Linked DNA regions of Ovis aries. The protein of the gene in region 2 purifies or fractionates together with the protein of the main gene of each other region. This does not show direct contact. Links are inferred from orthologs where the notes say so. Each region holds a gene or a part of one and is shown on either strand. Other genes may lie near its edges.

Evidence for each region. Proteins that work in one complex are often made in the same cells at the same time.
Region 1: the proteins of ZMYM2 (region 2) and PML purify together in Homo sapiens (affinity purification with western blotting; 3 studies listed by BioGRID, with this or other methods). This does not show direct contact. The link is inferred for Ovis aries from reciprocal best matches to the Homo sapiens genes ZMYM2 and PML.

What each region holds. Positions count from the first base shown.
Region 1 is NC_056071.1:32,280,539-32,284,741, forward strand, and holds the start of PML (protein PML), read right to left. Parts: upstream 2,832-4,203; 5' UTR 2,753-2,831; coding exon 2,618-2,752; intron 390-2,617; coding exon 1-389.
Region 2 is NC_056063.1:36,407,928-36,411,573, forward strand, and holds part of ZMYM2 (zinc finger MYM-type protein 2), read right to left. Parts: coding exon 2,977-3,646; intron 2,481-2,976; coding exon of another isoform or gene 2,455-2,480; exon of another isoform or gene 1-2,454. UniProt on the Homo sapiens protein: Involved in the negative regulation of transcription.

The DNA of each region.
Region 1 (4,203 bases), on a different chromosome or scaffold from region 2:
CGCACCGACTGGCTGCGGAGCTCCGCCAGCGGCCGGGCCTCGTGCTTGAGGAACCACTGGTGCGCCTCGAAGCACTTGGCGCAGATGAGCTGCTCACACTCGAAGCACCAGTAGTGGGCCAGCTCTTTGCAGCGGGTGCAAAACGCCTGCTCGCGTGCGATCTGCTGGTACACCGACAGCCGCCGCTGCAGGCTCTCGAAGAAGACGTTGTCCAGGGCCTGCGCGCCGGCACCTGAGGGCCAGGGAGCCTGGCAGACGGGGCACTGTATGCCGGACTCCTCCAGGCATCCTGAGCACAGCGTATGCAGACAAGGCAGCAGCTTGGGGCACTTAGCTTCTGCCCGGCAGCCCTGGCAGCGCAAGAACTGGAACTCTTCCTCCGTGGCTTGCTGGGGAATCAGGGAGGGAGGTGAGACGTGAAGTCCCAGGAAGCCCCACCCAACCGGACACCCACCCTGTGGCTGCACGCTGAGAGTGGCACTTCCTGTTTCATACCAAGCTGTCAACGGATGACACAAAAACCCAGCCTTATCAGTATCCCAGTCCTCCATTGACTTAGGCCTTCTCACGCTCACTCCATGATTTACTGAGCATCCGTTTCTCATAAGACACAGTACCAGGCCCCAAGATACACGGATGTATAGCAGCAGTCCCCAACCCTTTGGGGACTAGGTTACCGTTTCCTGAAAGACAGTTTTTCTATGGGTGGGGTGATGTAGGGATGATTTAAATGCATTATATTTATTGTGCACTTTATTTCTGTTTCCACTGTGAAAATTCGGTAGTGCAAGTGATGAGAGCGGCTGTAAATACAGATGACGTTTTGCTCTCTTGCTGGCTGCTTGCCACTGTAAGCCCGGTTCCTAATAGGCCAGGGCAAGTGACAGTCCGTGGCCTGGAACTTGGGGACCCCTGATTCCAGGACAAACCCCTGCCTTCACAGGACTTTAAAAAAGGAGATTCATTAAATGTGTGTCATATAACCTCACAAAAAATGCTTACTGCACTTTGATGGTTCCTCAAAAACTTAAACATAGAACTACCATAGGACCCAGCAATTCTACACCCAGCTATATACCCAAAAGAACAGAAAACAGGATCCAGATGCTTGTACATCCATTATTCTGTACACAGCATTAGTCACAGTAGCCAAGGAGTGGAAACAACTGAAGTGTCCATCAACAAATGAATGGATAAACAAAATGTAGTATATACATACAATGGAATGTTATTTGGCCTTAAAAAGGACATTCTGATACATGCTACAACATGAAAATACCTTGAAGACATCATGTTAAGTAAAACCAGCCAAACACAGAGACAAATACTGTAGCATTCCACTTATATAAAATATCTAGACTAGGCAAATGCAGAGACAGAAAGTAGATTAGAGGTTACCAGCAGCTAGGGGGAAGAGGGAGAAGGCAATGGCACCCCACTCCAGTACTCTTGCCTGGAAAATTCCATGGACGGAGGAGCCTGGTAGGCTGCAGTCTATGGGGCCACTAAGAGTAGGACACGACCGAGCGACTTCACTTTCACTTTTCTCTTTCATGCATTGGAGAAGGAAATGGCAACCCACTCCAGTGTTCTTGCCTGGAGAATCCCAGGGACAGGGGAGCCTGGTGGGCTGCCATCTATGGGGTCACAGAGTCGGACATGACTGAAGCGACTTAGCAGCAGCAGCCAGGGGGAAGAGGAGAATGAGCAGCTTAAAGGGTACAGATTTTTGTTTCAATGAAAAAATTCTGAAAATTGACTGTGGTGATGGTTACATTGTGGAATGCATTTAATGCCACTGAATTGTACACCTAGAAACAGATAAAACATAGGTAACATAATACAGTACCTGGCACGTGAGAAATACTCGAACATGTTAACTAGTATGGTAAATATTATTCCTAGGTGTTATAATGCAACAAATAAAAGTTAATGCAATATTATTTGTACTTTCATGAAGGAGAGTAAAAAGGGGCTGGAAGAAAACAGAGCAAGTGATCTAAGCACTTCCTTTGGGGGTGGGGAGTTTGTGCAGGAAAAGACCAGTAAACCCTTAAAAAACTCCTCAGGATGGGGGTTGAGGGAGCACGGTGCTCCAGGAAAAGGATCCAAGTAGCTTCCTAGAGGAGACACCACAGGAATCCTGGGCCTTAGCCAAGACACCTCTTTCCCACTTTCTGATCTGAGGACAAAGATTCTGGCTTGTCCACACCTGGAGCTTGTCCGGGTCTGCCAGGCGGGTGCGATAAGACTATTACTTCCATTTTCCTTAACAGGTGGTCCTTCATCTGAGGTAGGGGATAAGAGGCATGTCGCCAGCTTGGGCGGAAGAGACTTGGGCGGAAGAGTCTGGTCCGGGGTGCCACTCACTCTTAGCATCACCCCGCTGCTCGTGGAGAATCGCAACCCAGAGAGACCTCTCCCCTCAAACTCATGCTGGCCCCCTTTTCTACTTTCCACGACCCCTAACCCAGCCGAGAAGATCAGGACCCTCGCACCTGGTCTCCCTTCTTTACGTCATTTTTCAAGGTACTTGGTCAAGTTCCCCAGTCCCTCTATTCCACCGACCATACGTAATTAACAAAGCCCCAACCCCATCTCCCAAACGCAGTAGTACCTCTGTGGGGCTGTCGCTATGGCTGGACTGGTGGCCTTCGGAGAGTGCCTCCGGGGGAGGCATGCTGGGGGAGTGGGGCAGTGCGGGGTCCTGCTGGGGCCCCGGAGATCCGGCAGGTTCCGGATCCTGCTGCATGGAATCCAGCGCAGTTTCGATTCTCAGTTTCGCTCTTCGAGAGCGGAGAAACTGAACCCGAGGAAGGCGCCAGAACACTGAGCTCCCGAGCAGCCCTAAAGGGGAGGTGCCAGCTCAGGGCCCACCTCCCAGAGGAAGTGAAACACTAGCTACCGGCGGTTCTAGGGTCGGAGAGGCTGGCCCACGGTCCTGAAGACACGCCCAGAGCGGCGAGGAGGGAGAGAAGAGCAGTCACACGCAGGACAGCGGCAGAACTGATGTTTGTGCAGAATGGAGGCCGTCCCTGCCCTCGGCTTGGAATCTTTCATTCAGCTCACATTGGCACAGCTTCGTGCCAGCCCTCAGCTGGGAGCAAGAGCCACACAGCCGGGCCACGCGTGGCTCCTACTTTGGGAAAAAAAGGGAAAGTGTTAGTCTTCTAGTCGTGTCCGACTCTTTGGGACCCCATGGACTGTCGTCTTCTAGGCTCCTCTGTCCATGGGATTCTCCAGGCAAGAATACTGGAGTGGGTAGCCATTCCCTTCTAAAGGGGATCTTCCCTACCCAGGGATGGAACCCAGGTCTCCTGCACTGCAAGCAGATTCTTTAGCGTCTGAACCACCCCAGATCTAATGCAGGAGCAGTCCCCCAAAGGGAGATTTTCACAGTGTTGAGACTGGCTGGACAGGAGATCACTCAGCTGGGATTTGAAGTGATGGTGGGAATTTGCCAGGGATTCAGAGGCTGGGGATGGGTGGGCAACACTTAAGACCGAGAGAACAGCATATGCAAAGCCATGGAGGTTTGAAACAGAAGCTGTTTCGAAACTAGTTTTGAAACAAGCAACTCATTTTGGTTATTTTCAGATTCAAGAGGGGACCCATGCATGATGTCAGACCAAGATGGGCTGGGCAAGATGAGGCTAAGGAGATGGACCAGGGCTATGGACCACAGAGAGTTGGTGAAGGGTTTGAAAACAAGCAACCATGTCCATTGTGTATATTGGGACAGTCTCTCTGACAACCTAGGGCCAGGTGGTCTGGGACAGTGGCTGTGGGATGAGAGGAGGGACCCGAGTCAGACTGGGAGGACGCTGAGTGGAGATGACGGCATCAGGATGATGCCTGATGTGACAGCAGAAAGGGCTGGTGGATCTGAGGCAGTAGGGAATGGGGAGAGCTGGTGGGCAGGTATGAGAAAAATGAGGAGACAGCAACTTAGCAATGGGTCAAAGGAGAAGCCCCAGCTCTCAGCTGGTGAGGGGAGAAGGCACAGCTCCAGGTGGCATCACTGGGCCAGTGCCCCTGTCTTCAAACCTCAGTGCATTCCATTCATTGTGATGACTCCCATGGACCCATTTTGTGTTCAGTTCCAGCTTGGGACAGATTAGAAGGGCAGTGACAGGACTTTGCTCTTGTAAAACTTTAATAGTTGGGGGTGGGGTGAACTTATAGTTCAGGGTCAGGGTGGGA
Region 2 (3,646 bases):
TAAAAGGTCTTGGAGGTCTTCATACGCTTGTTCAACTTCACCTTCTTCAGTGTTACTGGCTGGGGCACAGACTTGGATTACTGTGATATTGAATGGTTTGCCTTGGAAACGAACAGAGATCATTCTGTCATTTTGAGATTGCATCCAAGTACTGCATTTCGGACTCTTGTTGACCATGATGGCTACTCCATTTCTTCTAAGGGATTCCTGCCCATAGTAGTAGATATAATGGTCATCTGAGTTAAATTCACCCATTCCAGTCCATTTCAGGAGGCAACAGTTAGAACTAGACATGGAACAACAGACTGGTTCCAAATAGGAAAAGGAGGATGTCAAGGCTGTATACTGTCACCCTGCTTACTTAACTTATATGCAGAGTACATCATGAGAAACGCTGGACTGGAAGAAACACAAGCTGGAATCTAGATTGCCAGGAGAAAGATCAATAACCTCAGATATGTAGATGACACCACCCTTATGGCAGGAAGTGAAGAGGAACTAAAAGCCTCTTGATGAAAGTGAAAGAGGAGAGTGAAAAAGTTGACTTAAAGCTCAACATTCAGAAAACGAAGATCATGGCATCTGGTCCCATCACTTCATGGGAAATAGATGGGGAAACAGTGTCAGACTTTATTATTTGGGGCTCCAAAACCACTGCAGATGGCGACTGCCGCCATGATATTAAAAAACGCTTACTCCTTGGAAGAAAAGTTATGACCAACCTAGATAACATATTCAAAAGCAGAGACATTACTTTGCCAACAAAGGTCCATCTAGTCAAAGCTATGGTTTCTCCAGTGGTCATGTATGGATGTGAGAGTTGGACTGTGAAGAAAGCTGAGCGCCGAAGAATTGATGCTTTTGAACTGTGGTGTTGGAGAAGACTCTTGAGAGTCCCTTGGACTGCAAGGAGATCCAACCAGTCCATTCTGAAGGAGATCAGCCCTGGGTGTTCTTTGGAAGGAATGATGCTAAAGCTGAAACTCCAGTAGTTTGGTCACATCATCCGAAGAGTTGACTCATTGGAAACGACTCTGATGCTGGGAGGGATTGGGGGCAGGAGGAGAAGGGGACGACAGAGGATGAGATGGCTGGGTGGCATCACCGACTCGATGGACATGAGTCTGAGTGAACTCCAGGAGTTGGTGATGGACAAGGAGGCCTGGCGTGCTGTGATTCATGGGGTCGCAAAGAGTTGGACATGACTGAGTGACTGAACTGAACTGAAGAGTCATTTAAATACTAAAAACTGGAATTGAACTCAATAGAGAATTAACAAAATCAAACATATACTCTTGATATGGTCAAAAGTTAAAAGATCTACTGTTTATTTAAAGGAGTGGGAGGAAGGGAAAGTGTCCAAAGCTAGACCTATCCTGCAATCCCAGGTTACAATTAAATGTACCATCCTCAACAGTAAAGATTGCACACTATGTTCTTTTTCATACATTTTTAATATATTTAAAATTATGAGAGACAAATAGCTGTTTGAAACTAATTTGACTATTATCATGTCTTAAACTTTTATGTGAGCCAGAAAGAAAGATATTCTAATATACAGCTGATAGCCATTTAAATTGGTAAAACCTTTCCAGAAGGCAGCATGACAAACTATTTCCACAACTTAAAAATGCTCTCACAAGTTCACATACACATATACACATCAATGACCTACCAACAAATATATGTAAATACATACAAGGGGAAATGGTCTTGGGAGACATTAGAATTTTTCAAAACTGAGTATTAAGAAACATACTTTTTTCAAAATCACTATAAACCAGAACCTTTTTATAACCAATGATCTTTGTACAGATGGAAGCAGTGACACTCTGTGATCCAGTAACTTTACTTCTAGGAGTAAATGCTAAGAAATCATCAGAAATTTGAGGGGAAAAAAGTTCATCATATACCAACAACAGCAAAAAAGGAAAATGGTGTAAAAGCCAAATATGGCGACTGGTATAACAAAATCCAATGTGCAGTCATTACAACTTCCGTGTATAAACAATTTTAGTGTTATGAAAAAATACAGAGCCACATTACATGGAGGGAAAACAAGAAGGAACATTATGAAGAAGTGCACTCAAACAAGTTAAGAAATACAAAGGAGAAAGAATGAGAACCAGCCACTCAAACCATTATCAACAGTGGTAGGTAACCTTCAGTTAATCACCTCATATGGGTTTCTCCCCCCTATTTTTTAATTATGGATTTTCCAAATATTCTTCAGTAATTAGACATTACTATCATAACCGAAAAGAATAAGTAAGAAAAACAACTAGCATTTCACAAAACATTCTACACAGCCTCGGTTTCAGTCATTTCTTATTATTCCCCACAATCCTAGGCTGATAAAGTTGCTAACGAGCTTAAAATGATGAAGCCTAAGAAGAGAAGGTACACGAGAGACAGGCAGGCCTCACATGGTCAGGAAAAGCCACAGAACTCTTCTCACAGCTTCCACAGAGTAAAGCTGCCTGCAGAAAGTATTTTCAAATAGTCAAGAAATTTACCAATCTTTACATATTAAAAAAAAATTAGTGCTAAAAAGTAAAAATTAAAATCAGACAGGCAGTCAAAATTAAACACAAATCTAAATGCAACTATACATTATATTGTTCCTCACATGTACTAAGTATCTTTTCATTCTCTATTTGCACATTAAAACCATACCATTAAAAACACAAGAGCATAAAATGAGTACATGACAAACAGGATGCCAAATTATTAGATTTGAGCATAGTAAATATAAAGAGTATTTTGTTCTGATTAATTTTCTAATACTCTACAGAGAAATATTACATACATAGTTTACATCTCTTATTAGTTAAAATTTGAAACTTCAAAGTCAATAGAATTAACACACCTTACATGAGTAAACTAACCAAAGTAGCACCAATTAGGACAATGAAAGAAGAACCTGCCTGTAAACAACCCCTAAAGGGGGAGTGGGAGAGGACCCTCACTGCTTACCAGGGTTGTGATGAGCTGCAGACTCTCCATTCTGAAATGCATCTCCTGCCACATTCATTCTACCAGGATTGAAAGGTCCTACTGCAGTCTTGGTCTGTGAAGTTAAAGACGGGGTGTATGTTTGCATATTAACACCAAAATTACTTGACTGCAGTCCATTAGAGACATCTCCCAAGCTGGCATTCTGCAGAGATGTTACGTGTGTGATCATCAGGTTCATGTCTCTCCCGTCAGTGTGTTCTAACTGGCCATCACTCACAGAGCCGACGCCTGTTTCTAAGGTCGTAACGTTAGCGATCTGAATCTCAGAGTCTGGTTCTGTGGTGATACCACTATTACCCATTCCTGCATTTACCTTACTTCTTGAAAAACTGGAAGGGGAGAAATCCACATCATTGTTTCTGTTTTTAGACTCAGATGGTCTCCGTTCAATAAAATTGGAGGAATTTTTCTCTTGCCCTTGATTTGTTTCCATATCCTCCTCATCATCAATGACGATCGTCTCACTTACACTCCCCTTCTGAGAAGCCAATTCTTTTGAGGAAGGAAGAATTTTGGAATCATTTCCTGGCATCTCTTCATTTTTTGATAATGTAAATGTTATGGTTCTTTGATCAGCCACCACTGGTGCACAAGGAGGAGGTGGTTGTACTGGTTCGATAAACACAAC